Linked DNA regions of Macaca fascicularis. The protein of the gene in region 1 interacts with the protein of each later gene in a pairwise test. Links are inferred from orthologs where the notes say so. Each region holds a gene or a part of one and is shown on either strand. Other genes may lie near its edges. The genes, in order: PPP1CB, PPP1R3C and PPP1R16A.

Region 1 (3,746 bases):
TCTTGTTTTAGGATTGCTGGTGCCTGGCAAGGAGGAGGTCAACATGTTAACGCTTGCTAAATTGAGAGAAATGTGTCTGGACTACAATTCTTACCCCCGCCCCCCAAAAAGGAAAAAAGATTGTACAAAACCAAATACTTAATTTGAATTCACAAAAACAAATTGAATCACTTAGACTATTTTTCCCCCAATGTCTTTTCCAGTAACCTTGCACAACCCACTCGTGAAGTTTAAGTACCTGTAATCATAAAAAGGTGCATCTAATTTAAAAGGATACAAACATTTTAAAACATAAATCTGTTTTATGCCTATAAAATAGATGGAAAATGAAATAAAATATAAAGTTGAGATACAAACATATTTTTAAAATATTTAAATTTACAAGCAAAGTTTAAAATATATAAAATTGGGTCCGGCGCGATGGCTCACGCCGGTAATCCCAGCACTTTGGGAGGCTGAGGCGGGTGGATCACGAGGTCAAGAGTTCAAGACCAGCCTGGCCAAGATGGTGAAACCTCCGTCTCTACAAAAATACAAAAAAAAAATTAGCCGGGCATGATGGCGGAGTGCCTGTAATCCCAGCTACTCGGGAGGCTGAGGCGGAAGAATCGCTCAAACCCGGGAGGCGGAGGTTGCAGTGAGCCGAGACCGTGCCATTGCACTCCAGCCTGGGAGACACAGTGAGACTCCGTGGGGGGAGGGGGGGGGAGAGTAGGCCTCTACTTTCCCAAATGTAAACAAGACATATACATTTTTAAATTAACTGTATTTCTCTCATAGAACAGTTACAAAATACAATTTTTCTTCAAAGCAAATTTCTCAAATACCCAGCAAGACGTTCACATCTGAAACAAAGTCTTAGGTAGTGAACACTGACTGCAGGCACCAGGGGGCCTCCCAGGAATAACTTGATAGTAAAGGAAAAGGTAAATAAGAGTTCCTGGTAAAACTTTTGCTTCCTATTCAGTCTTAAGACTGCTGGATGGCTTTCACTTCTGGAGCAAATATACAGTATTTAGTTACAGAACGGCTACACACAGAACTTGGGTTTTAGATACCGACACATTCGTTGAAAAAAACGAGTTACCCCTCCCCCATTAAAATATTCTTTGATGATTTTCCAAATATAAGTACATGTTGCTTTACTGTAGCAAACAATTATCTTAAGGTAATTTGAAAGCAAACAGTACATATGCAATCCTTCGATGGCGGCTAACAAAGAGGCCTCTAAATTGTTTAAAAGGGATTAATGGCTTTTCTACACACTCACAAAACAATTAGTGATGACGAACATTTTAGGGTAGAAGGACTGTTTGGCATTTAACTTTGAATAATATCCTGCAATGAATCAATACATTTAACTCCTGGCTTTCCCCCCCCTTGCCTTCCCACCAACATAAAACTATTCGATAAGAACACCAGGGCCCGGAAAGTTCAAATGCTGCGTAGACTTGCAAATACCTTTCGAACACAAGACAGGCTTTAAAAATAGATCTTCACTAAGTTGTGCAGAAATTAAGCTCTGCTCAAATCAAACGCAAAAGCCAACATCTACATACATCACATTTCTTACGTGCATCTTCAACCTGATCAAATATTTTGTCTTACAATTTTTTTAGGCCGAATAACAAATGGTAGATAAATTCCCGCTAATTTTATCCTCTCTAAGAAGAATCCATTCTATGGCATCGTGTAAAAATGCAGAGCAGACGAAGCATTCCTGTTACGGACAGGTTTTTATATATATACATAAAATTCACTCGCGGAACGACAATCGGAGGCAGCCAAGGGCAATGCACAAAGAGAGAAGAAACACTGATTCCACGGACACACAAAGCCCGGTGGCAGGCATCCTCTCCCCCTCCTCGGAGGAGTCACCGGAGGCGAGCACGACGGCGCGCGGAGCCCGGCGGCCTTTCCGAAAGGCTGTCTCCCGCAGACCCGCTCCGCACAGCTGCCGGCCGGCGGGCCTGGCCACCAAGGGTCCGCGGGGACGGCCCCCTCTCCCCCGATTTCCCCTGACCGCGCTCCCGGAGGCCGCTCCCCGGCGCCCAGCAGCCTCCTCGCCCCCTCCTCGGCTGGTCTGCCGCGCCGCGCTCCCAGAGACAGCCTCGGGGCGGGAAAGAGGTCCCCTCGCGTTTCGGCGGCGGAGGTGGACGCAGGGGTCGGCGGCGGCGCCCGACCTCCCTCCGTCCCACGGCCCGGCGCGCACTCACCCTCCAGCAGCCGGGTGATGAGGCTGTCCACGTTCAGCTCCCCGTCCGCCATCTTGTCGGCACAGACTCTCCTTCCCAGCAGCGGGAACAAGGGCTTCTCGGCGGCGGAGGCTGCGGCGACGGCTCGGCGTTCTCTCACCTACAAGTCACGCGGCGTTTCGACCCCGGCTCCAACTCCCCCTTTTCCCGGGCCCTCCCCCCACCCCCTCCCCGCTGGGTAGCGAGAGCGCGCGCACACTCGGAGGCACCCACGGAAAATAAATAAATAAACAAGAGGGGCCCCCACAAACAGGGCCGCGTCAGACCAAGGCCGCCACCTCCTCGTCCTCGGCACCGCCCAGCTCCGCAAAGCTCACCAGCGCCGCCGACGGCCCCACCCGCAGCGCCACTCACTCCGCACGTCCCTTGCGCGCCACCGCGTCACGCAGCTCTCCGCGCAGGCGCCCGGCGCGCTCCCCGCCGAGGTTCCCCTCGACGCCTGGGCCTCCGCGCAGCCGCACTGGAGCGGCTTCTGCCGCCGCCGTCTTCGCGCAGGTGCGTCGCCCTCTCTCTCTACGTCCACGGCGCCGAGTTTCGCCGCCGCGGCGCAGGCGCCAAGGAGGTGCCCGGCTTTGCCGCTCGGAGGAAGCCCCGGTTACGCAGAGCGGGCTGGGGCAGGGCTCACCTTCCTCCTCCTCTGCTTCACTGGCGCTTTCCAGACGTGGTGGTTGCACCCTTTTGGCCTCGCTTTCCTTTTCATGGCTTCATACCTTAGATCTGCAAGCAGTTCCTCGTGTTTCTTCCTAGCCGGGAAACGCGAACTGCAGCGTTTGGAACCCGGGTTTGCGCTTGTGAAAAGCAAGAAGGGGTTAACTCTGCTGGAGTTCGACATTGCAAATAAAGGTCTTTACCCCCAGTGGTTCTACAAAATTAGTTCCGCAGGGATTCTGTTTGAAAGAAGAGTTAAAGTGGGCCCTGTAGGAGTCAGCAATAATACAATTTTACATGGGTGCATATGGCTGCCTGTGTTTAGCGCTTTCACACATCTTGTATCTCCATCCACGCCGTGGGTATCTTTTTTTCCACAGTGTGTTTCTGTTGCTGCTTCCAGTATATTGCTTAATCATCCTACCTGGTAATTATTTATGCATTTTTCTCCCACTCTCGACTCAGCTCCTAGGGGATAAAAACACACTAACTTATCTTTGTGCCCACAGCACCCACCAAATATTTCCATCACGTAATACTGCTTCTAGAAAGGCAGGAGGAGAGGCAGTCACGCTAAGGATCTAGGCAAGCCAGATCTTTTGTCCTGTTTTAGGAGGTGGCCAACCCTTACTTATTCCACAGGTGTTTTTCCAGAAACTCAGATCTGATATTGCCCCAAGTCCAAGGCAGTACTTCCCCCACTCACATATCACTAATAGTAGCTAACATTTGTTCATATCCCTGTTATGTGCTGTGCCACTGTTTTAAATGTTACACCCGCGTTACCTCATTTAATCCTTATAACAGCCCTGTGAGGTAGGTACTATTATTATCTCTGCTTTG
Region 2 (3,746 bases), on another chromosome or scaffold:
GAGTGCAGTGGCACAATCTCAGCTCACTGCAACCTCTGCCTCCTGGGCTCAGGTGATTCTCCTGCCTCAGCCTCCAGAGTAGCTGAGAGTACAGGCGTGCACCAACGCCCCCAGCTAATTTTTGTATTTTTAGTAGAGACAAGGTTTCACCACGTTGGCCAGGCTGGTCTTGAACTCCTGGCCTCAAGTGATCCACTGGGCAGGTTTCCCGACCACTCAGTGTCTCCGTTTTCTTTTCTCTAAAATGGGATTAATAACTGGACATATCACATAGGGCTCTTGTGAGGATTGAACTGATAGCACACAGTGTTTGGCAGAGTAAAGGCTCAACAAGCAGCAGTTATTCTCAATATTTTAGCTCAGGCACCAGGTGCCTTGAGGTGATAGAGTAAAAACTCTAGCTGAGAGATCAAGTAGAAACTTAGGAAGTAGCCCGGGTTGAACACAGGAGCTGGGCATCGTGCTGAGTCTGTTCATTGGCACCATCTTACTTCATCCTCAGAACGTTACTATCTCCGTTTTACATATGAGGAAACTGAGGTTAGAACTTGCCTAGATTCGTGTAGCTAGTAAGTGTCAATTCAAAGACCTTCCAGCTAGTTTTGGTTGAGCCAAAGGGGCTAGAAGACCTGCCATTAGTTAGATTTTCATTTCAAAAATAAAACCTCAGCATGAAGTGCCTTTCCCAGTGATACTCAGCGTGATTTTTTTTCTTCTTTCACACATACGGCTGTATGTGTGAAAAGGGTCATTTCTCTTCCGGCTTTAGTGTTCCCCGCAGGGGAGAAAATTGAAGAATAGACAGAAATACAAAGTATCTTTTAATTAAATGCCACCTCGCTGTTTTATGGGGCTCGTATGCTTTCCTAACATTTGTTAGATAAGTTGGTAATTCCCGGCAGCTGTCTACTGTGTGGTGCATCTGTGAACCCATAACTAACAGAAAAGCATGAAGCCAGTTTGGGATCGCGCAGGCTAAGATGAGGGAGAAATGCGGATACACCGGGCAATGAACAACATAAACATTTCAAATGCGATACACATTCGGATTGAGCCACATCTGTGTGGAGATTCAACTGCACTGACCCACAAAGCTATTCCCAAGTAACAGCCGCCCCAAGCCTGAGGCACTGGCGCCCCGCCTGGGCGAGGCTGGCTGCGCTCTCTCTTGGCCGGCGCCCGTTGCATGCGGTACGTGCCTGCCCGGCCCCTCGCCCAGGGTTCCCGTTACGCGGCTGCGTCCAGCTGGCCGCGGAGTCCCAGAACCTCCCCGGGATGCCCAGCTCGCGCTCTGCACGTCCGGCCCCGGGGCGATCATATTCCCGGGGCGAGGGCTCTCGCCCCATCTGGGTGCTGGTTGGTCGCGCCATGGGGCCCGAGGCCCGGCGATTGGTCCCAGGAATCGGGTCACGTGCTTCGGAGCAGATAAGCGGCCTCTAGGCGCCAGGCCCTCAATCTCTCCCAGCGACCGCCGCGGGGGAAGGCAGGGAGCTGTGGTTCGAATTTGTGCAGGCAGTGGGTGCTGGCTTTCACGGTCCGCCGCCTGTCTGCCTAATGAGCTGCACCAGGTAGGTTCGCTGCACCTCTGCGCGGTAGGAACACAGGGGAACGCACAGCTGTGGGGAAGTTGGGGGGGCGTTTCAGTTCTGTCATGAGGATAAGGGAACTGACTGCTTAGTTGAATCTGGCAACCGAGAGGGCTTGGAGGTGTAGAAATTTGACTCTATTTCTTAAGCAGAGCCTATTTTAGCAATCAGCATCTTAAAGCAGAAGTTATCTTAACGTGAATCAGCTTGAGTTCTGATTTTCTCATGGATGCGGCTGTTCTTTTGGTCCTGCACAAATGTCGCAAGGACTCAGGCAGCTGAAGTGGTGAGAACAGCACTCTGACATTGCTGGTTAGGTGGTTTAGCTTGGAGGAAAAAAATTACAGGACGACGTTTGCATTCATTCGTCCTTCTTATCACAGTTTGCCATAGCACAATCTCAAGAGTTTGAGCAAACAATTACTTTTAACTCTTGTCCAGGACTTAAAGTTCCAAGGAAATCACCCAAAGTAAAACTGTCTTTCTATAAATGCAAAAAGTAAAAATAAAATAAAATAAAAAAACTGCCATAAAACTACTTTAAATAGCTTCTCCAGACATAGCTTAGCAGAAGACTTCTCTAAAAATCCTGCCTATTAACTATTATTAGACCCACAAATATAGCTTTAGCTTTCATTTGTTTGTTCTAAGTTTGCAGGTCTCCCAGAAAAACCCCAGAGCTAATACAGTAAATTCTGCGAGTGTTATTACCCATTTTTGTGATAATGACCACTTGGATACATATTTAGAGCTGCTGTGAGGAGAGTTACTAAAGCCAGACTGAGAAATGTCGTGTACAGTATACACACACCTCTTACTTGTAAGGCTAAGATAGGGAAAAAAATCCTAATACCATAAGCTTGGAAATATATAATGAGGGCTAAAGGCCAGAGAAAAGTCTTCTTTATGGATGCTTCTTGGTTTAATATTGCTGAGCATAGTCATGTTTAAAACTTTAAATAGCTTTATTGTCTTTCTACTTATAAATGTCTATTAGAAAATGCCAAAAAAGGAACAAAAATGAAAATAGATAATCTATAGTCCTATCACCCAGAGATAATAATTATTACATTATTAGGAAAGGTGTATTTCTTACAGAGTTTTTCAATATTTATAAGCTTGCATACATATAATGTATATTTTAAAACACGCCAACTTTCAGGTAATCAGGTTTTCCACTTAAATGTGGACTTGTCATGGGCATCTCTTTAGATGAATTATCAGTTACACAGTTTGTAAGTACATATGAATTATTGACTTGTATTTCAGTGGTTATTTGTGAAAAATGAGGAAAAGCATGACAATCAAAGTACAAAGAGAATTCTTTGACTTCTTCTCTAGCCTTCTCACTCTCAAAACTGTTGCATGTTATTTTTGTTTTTTTTTGTTTTTCAAGTGAATTACCTTACCAGAGAAGTGTCAATCAATTTAGCAGCAAAATAAGCCAAAGTAGCCAGAGGGAGCAGAGGGTCTGGAACTGTGGCTTCTGAACCTCTCTGGTCATTAGAATCACCTGGGAAGCTTTAAGAGCATATCCATCCCTTGGCCCTAGCCCCAGAAGTTCTGCCTCAGTGGTTCTGAGTCCCAGGAATTGGAAAGAAAGAAAAAAGAAGAAAGAGAGAGAGAGAACGAGAGGAAGAGAAAAGAAAGGAAGGAAGGAAAGGAAGAAAGGAAGGAAAGGAAGCAGGGAAGGAGGGAAGAAAAGAAAGAAAGAAAATGAATTCCCCAGGCATAGTGACCAGACAGGTTTGAGGACCACTGGTCCAGAACAGAGCACACAGTTCTCAAGGCTGCCTGGGAGATAATCAAATCGAACCCTTTTATTTCTCAGATGGGGAGACTGAGACCCCCATCACCCTCTAAGTGTTTTAAGCAGTTAACACTTAGCCTTTAGCCAGCCAAGGGTAGAGGTAGACATAGAAAGAAGATCTGATCAGTTAATACTGTTCTCTTTTACTATATATGATAGCACCTGCCTGATATCTACTGCACTGGCTAAAATTCAGTCAGCACAAAAATAGTACATATGTATTTGGCACTGGGAAAGAGCACTTCCGATCCAGGTGATAATCCCTCTTCCCTTTGCATTCCAGAATGATCCAGGTTTTAGATCCACGTCCTTTGACAAGTTCGGTCATGCCCGTGGATGTGGCCATGAGG
Region 3 (3,647 bases), on another chromosome or scaffold:
CCACCGCGCCAGGCCTTTCCCATAAACTTTTTGTTTGTTTGTTTGTTTTTTGAGACGGAGTTTCGCTCTGTCGCCCAGGCTGGAGTGCTGTGGCACAATCTTGGCTCACTGCAAGCTCCGCCTCCCGGGTTCACGCCATTCTCCTACCTCAGCCTCCCGAGTAGCTGGGACTACAGGCGCCCACCACCACGCCCGGCTAATTTTTTTTTTGTAGTTTTGGTAGAGACGGGGTTTCACCGTGTTAGCCAGGATGGTCTCAATTTCCGACCTCGTGATCCGCCCGCCTGGGCCTCCCAAAGGACTGGGATTACAGGCGTGAGCCACCGCGCCCGGCCTCCCATAAGTTTTAAGGCACCCCCCTTTCCACTGGCACCTCCTTGGTGGGGCGCTGGAGGCTCCCCAAGTTCTGACCGCTCATCTCCGACGTCCCGGGCCCGACACCACCCCCAAAGCTGCCACTCATTCCGCTGGCGCCCGTCCCATTGTCTACGATGACTCGGTTTTGTCCAGCATAAATCAATGACCACCGTCCCGGGAGCCCTGGAGTACTTTGAGCCCTTCGCGTCCCACCCGGGCCCCGAGGAGGTCCCAGCCGCGGAGGACTCGCCCGGCCGCCCGCAGCTGTCCCAGTTGGCACCCGCCCCCCGACCGTCCCTCCCAGGCCCCGCCCCCGACCGTCCCTCCCCAGGCTCCGCCCCCGACCGTCCCGCCCCAGGCTCCGCCCCCGGCTCCCACGGGGCACCGCGGCTTCCGGCTGTGGGTAGCGCGGGCCGGAAGTGTAGCGTTGCCATGGCGAGAGCCGGGCGCGGGGCCCGCCCCCGCAGCGCCTCGGGGAGCGCGGGGCCCACCGACCCGCGGAAGCCAGCGGACCCACTTACGCGGCGGCCGGCGCGGGACATGAGGTGAGGCGCGGACTCCCGGGTGCTGCAGCAGGAGCGGAGCGAAGGAGAGGGGCCCCGGCCAGGGACAGCCGTGGCGGGCCCGGGAAGGAGGGGCACTGGGTCGACACCGGGAGAGGAGGCCGGGCCGTAGAAAGATGAGGCTGAGGGGAGGGAGGAGGCCGGGGGGGGGCGGGAGGAGGAAGAGACCGAGGGGGGAGAGGAGGCTGGCGAGGGAGAAGGCTGGCGAGGGAGGAGGCCGGGGAGGGGCCCTCGGGAGACGCGGCTGCCGGCACGCGGGCGCCCAGGGCACAGGTCCCGCCGGGCCGCCTTGGGCGTTGCTGGCTGAGGCCCAGGGCAGCAGGTGCCAAGGGTCAGGAAAGGCAGGGAGCCGAAGGCTGCCGGTGGGCGCTTCGCATTTTGTTCCAAGGCGAAGGTGTGTGGATTCTCCGCAGCCCGTCGGTCAGGTAGACAGCTCCGGAATTATCCTCATTTTCAGATGAGGAAATTAAGGCCGCAGAGAAGGGACTTACCCAAGCTTTGTGTGGGCTTTGGAGCTAGGCTGAAGGAGAAAGGGAAGTCTCTCTCTGGGGCAAGTTCCTTCAACTTTCAGGGATTCACATGACCTCACTTGTAGCGCGGGGCGCCTGGACCACCCCTCAGGAATTGGGGTCAGGGCAACAATTACTAAGCAAGCACCCCGCCCGGGAGGGAGTGTCCGGGACTGGTGTGGGCGCCTGTCTGTACCAGAGCAGAGGCCCCGGGCACGGTGGGATTCATTTCCATGGGTGCAGAGACGGGAGGGGTGTACGGAGTCATTCTAGGCTTATGAGAGCCAGAGCAAAGTTAGCCCTCCCCAAACCTCTGTGCCTTCCTTTTCTTCCTGGATTCCTACTTGGGGGTGGAGGTGGAGGCCGGGGTACCGCTGCCTTCTTCAAAGCGTGTCTAATACAGCAGTGAGCCCTCCTGGGCGTCTTGGTGCCCCTGTTGCTTCCTGGAAGGGTTGGGATTTCTCTGGGAGAAGAGTCTTGGCTGCAGTACCCTGGGGCCTCCTGAAGAGGCCTCTGGCTGCGCTGCCTGATTCAGGGACCCAGAGCCACGACTCGCCGAGAGGAGCTCCGGCGGCGTGCAGCTGGGTTGCCTGAGGGGCTGGAGGCTGCCTCGTGGACTTACACACATACTGGCTCCATGCTTGTCACTGTGGTGGACGCTCAGAGCTCTGCAGGGCCAGCTGCCTGTCCCTGCCCCAAGTCCTCCAGGCTCGGGTTGGGATGGGGGAGGCTTTAGGGCGTCCTTCCCCCTCCCGGTGCTCGAGCTGCATTTCCTCCCTGTTGGCTGGAGCCATCCCTCCTGTCTCTTGATTGGCCTGTCCTGGCCTCATCCCTCACCTGCTTGGGATGCACCTGGACTCCGCTTTGCCTGGAGGATTGCCTGGGGTGGCGCCTAGCAAGGGGGCTCCTCCTGTATGACTCCACTTTGGGGTCTGTGTAGGGATTCTTGAACCTCTGGTCTGAATGAACAGCTGATTGATACAGCTCTCCGCTGCCTGCGGCTTAGGAACCTCAGTCTCAGGTGACCCCACAGACCGTACCAGCACCACCAGCTCCACCCTGCTCTGCCTCGAGCGTGTCCTACCCTAGCACTTGTGCCACATCTACCCACTGGCCAAATGAGAACTAGGTGGCAGTTCCAGGCCCTTCTTTCATGCCGAGGCTCTCCCGGCACTGGTGCACGCACACCTAAGTGAGGCCTTTTCATCAGACTTGCTCAGCCAGGAGCTCGGAGCCTCGCATGTCACATCCTTTGCTGGGAGCCCTGTGCCGCAGGCTCAGTAGCTGTTCACCTGGTCAGCCCACCGCACTTACTGAGTGCTTCCTATGAGTCAGGAACCGGCCAAGTCCTGAGGATGCAGCAGGGAAACAAACAGTAAGTGGCATGTCAAGGATTAAAACAGGGTGATGAGATAAGAGAATGACAAGGTAACCACAGAAGATCTCTGAGGAGGTCGCACTTAAGATGTGATCCGAGTCCCAAGAAGGAGCATGCTGTCCTAAGATCTGGTGGAAGAACTTTCCAGACAGAAGGAGCAGCTGATGAAGGTGGGGGTGATGATGAAGCTGGTAACACCAAATAAATGTGCTAGACCAGGAGTTGGCCAGCTTTTACCATGAAGGGCTAGGTAGTAAACATTTTAGGCTTTGCTGACCATGTGGCTTTCTGGTTTTTTGTTTGTTTGAGATGGAGTCTTACTCTGTCGTCCAGACTGGAGTACGGTGGCATGATCTCCGCTCACTGCAACCTCTGCCTCCCGGGTTCAAATGATTCTCCTGCCTCAACCTCCCCAGTAGCTGGGATTGCAGGCACATGCCACCATGCCAGCTAATTTTTGTATCTTTTTTTTTTGAGACAGTCTTGCTCTGTCGCCAGGCTGCAGTGCAGTGGTGTGATCTCAGCTCACTGCAACCTCCGTCTCCCGGATTCAAGCGATTCTCCTGCCTCAGCCTCCCAAGTAGCTGGGACCTCAGGTGCATGCCACCATGGCCAGCTAATTTTTGTACTTTTAGTAGAGATGGAGTTTCACCACGTTGGCCAGAATGGTCTTGAACTCCTGACCTCATTATCCTCCTGCCTCGGCCTCCCGAAGTGTGGGGATTACAGGCGTGAGCCACCACGCCCAGCCCATGCATTGATTTTTTACATCAAACTTTATTGAGGTGTGACTTACAGTAAGATGCACCTATTTTAATGGGTTTTGTGTGATGGGTTTGG

Evidence for each region.
Region 2: the proteins of PPP1CB (region 1) and PPP1R3C interact in binary tests that used the Homo sapiens proteins (3 or more experiments, as listed by UniProt). The two-hybrid records come from large-scale screens. The link is inferred for Macaca fascicularis from reciprocal best matches to the Homo sapiens genes PPP1CB and PPP1R3C.
Region 3: the proteins of PPP1CB (region 1) and PPP1R16A interact in binary tests that used the Homo sapiens proteins (3 or more experiments, as listed by UniProt). The two-hybrid records come from large-scale screens. The link is inferred for Macaca fascicularis from reciprocal best matches to the Homo sapiens genes PPP1CB and PPP1R16A.

What each region holds. Positions count from the first base shown.
Region 1 is NC_088387.1:93,467,925-93,471,670, forward strand, and holds the start of PPP1CB (serine/threonine-protein phosphatase PP1-beta catalytic subunit), read right to left. Parts: upstream 2,651-3,746; 5' UTR 2,610-2,650; exon of another isoform or gene 2,573-2,609; intron 2,564-2,572; exon of another isoform or gene 2,356-2,563; 5' UTR 2,269-2,355; coding exon 2,217-2,268; intron 1-2,216. UniProt on the Homo sapiens protein: Protein phosphatase that associates with over 200 regulatory proteins to form highly specific holoenzymes which dephosphorylate hundreds of biological targets.
Region 2 is NC_088383.1:100,436,123-100,439,868, reverse strand, and holds the start of PPP1R3C (protein phosphatase 1 regulatory subunit 3C), read left to right. Parts: upstream 1-1,453; 5' UTR 1,454-1,554; coding exon 1,555-1,568; intron 1,569-3,679; coding exon 3,680-3,746.
Region 3 is NC_088382.1:154,187,388-154,191,034, forward strand, and holds the start of PPP1R16A (protein phosphatase 1 regulatory subunit 16A), read left to right. Parts: upstream 1-794; 5' UTR 795-902; intron 903-2,639; 5' UTR 2,640-2,804; intron 2,805-3,647. UniProt on the Homo sapiens protein: Inhibits protein phosphatase 1 activity toward phosphorylase, myosin light chain and myosin substrates.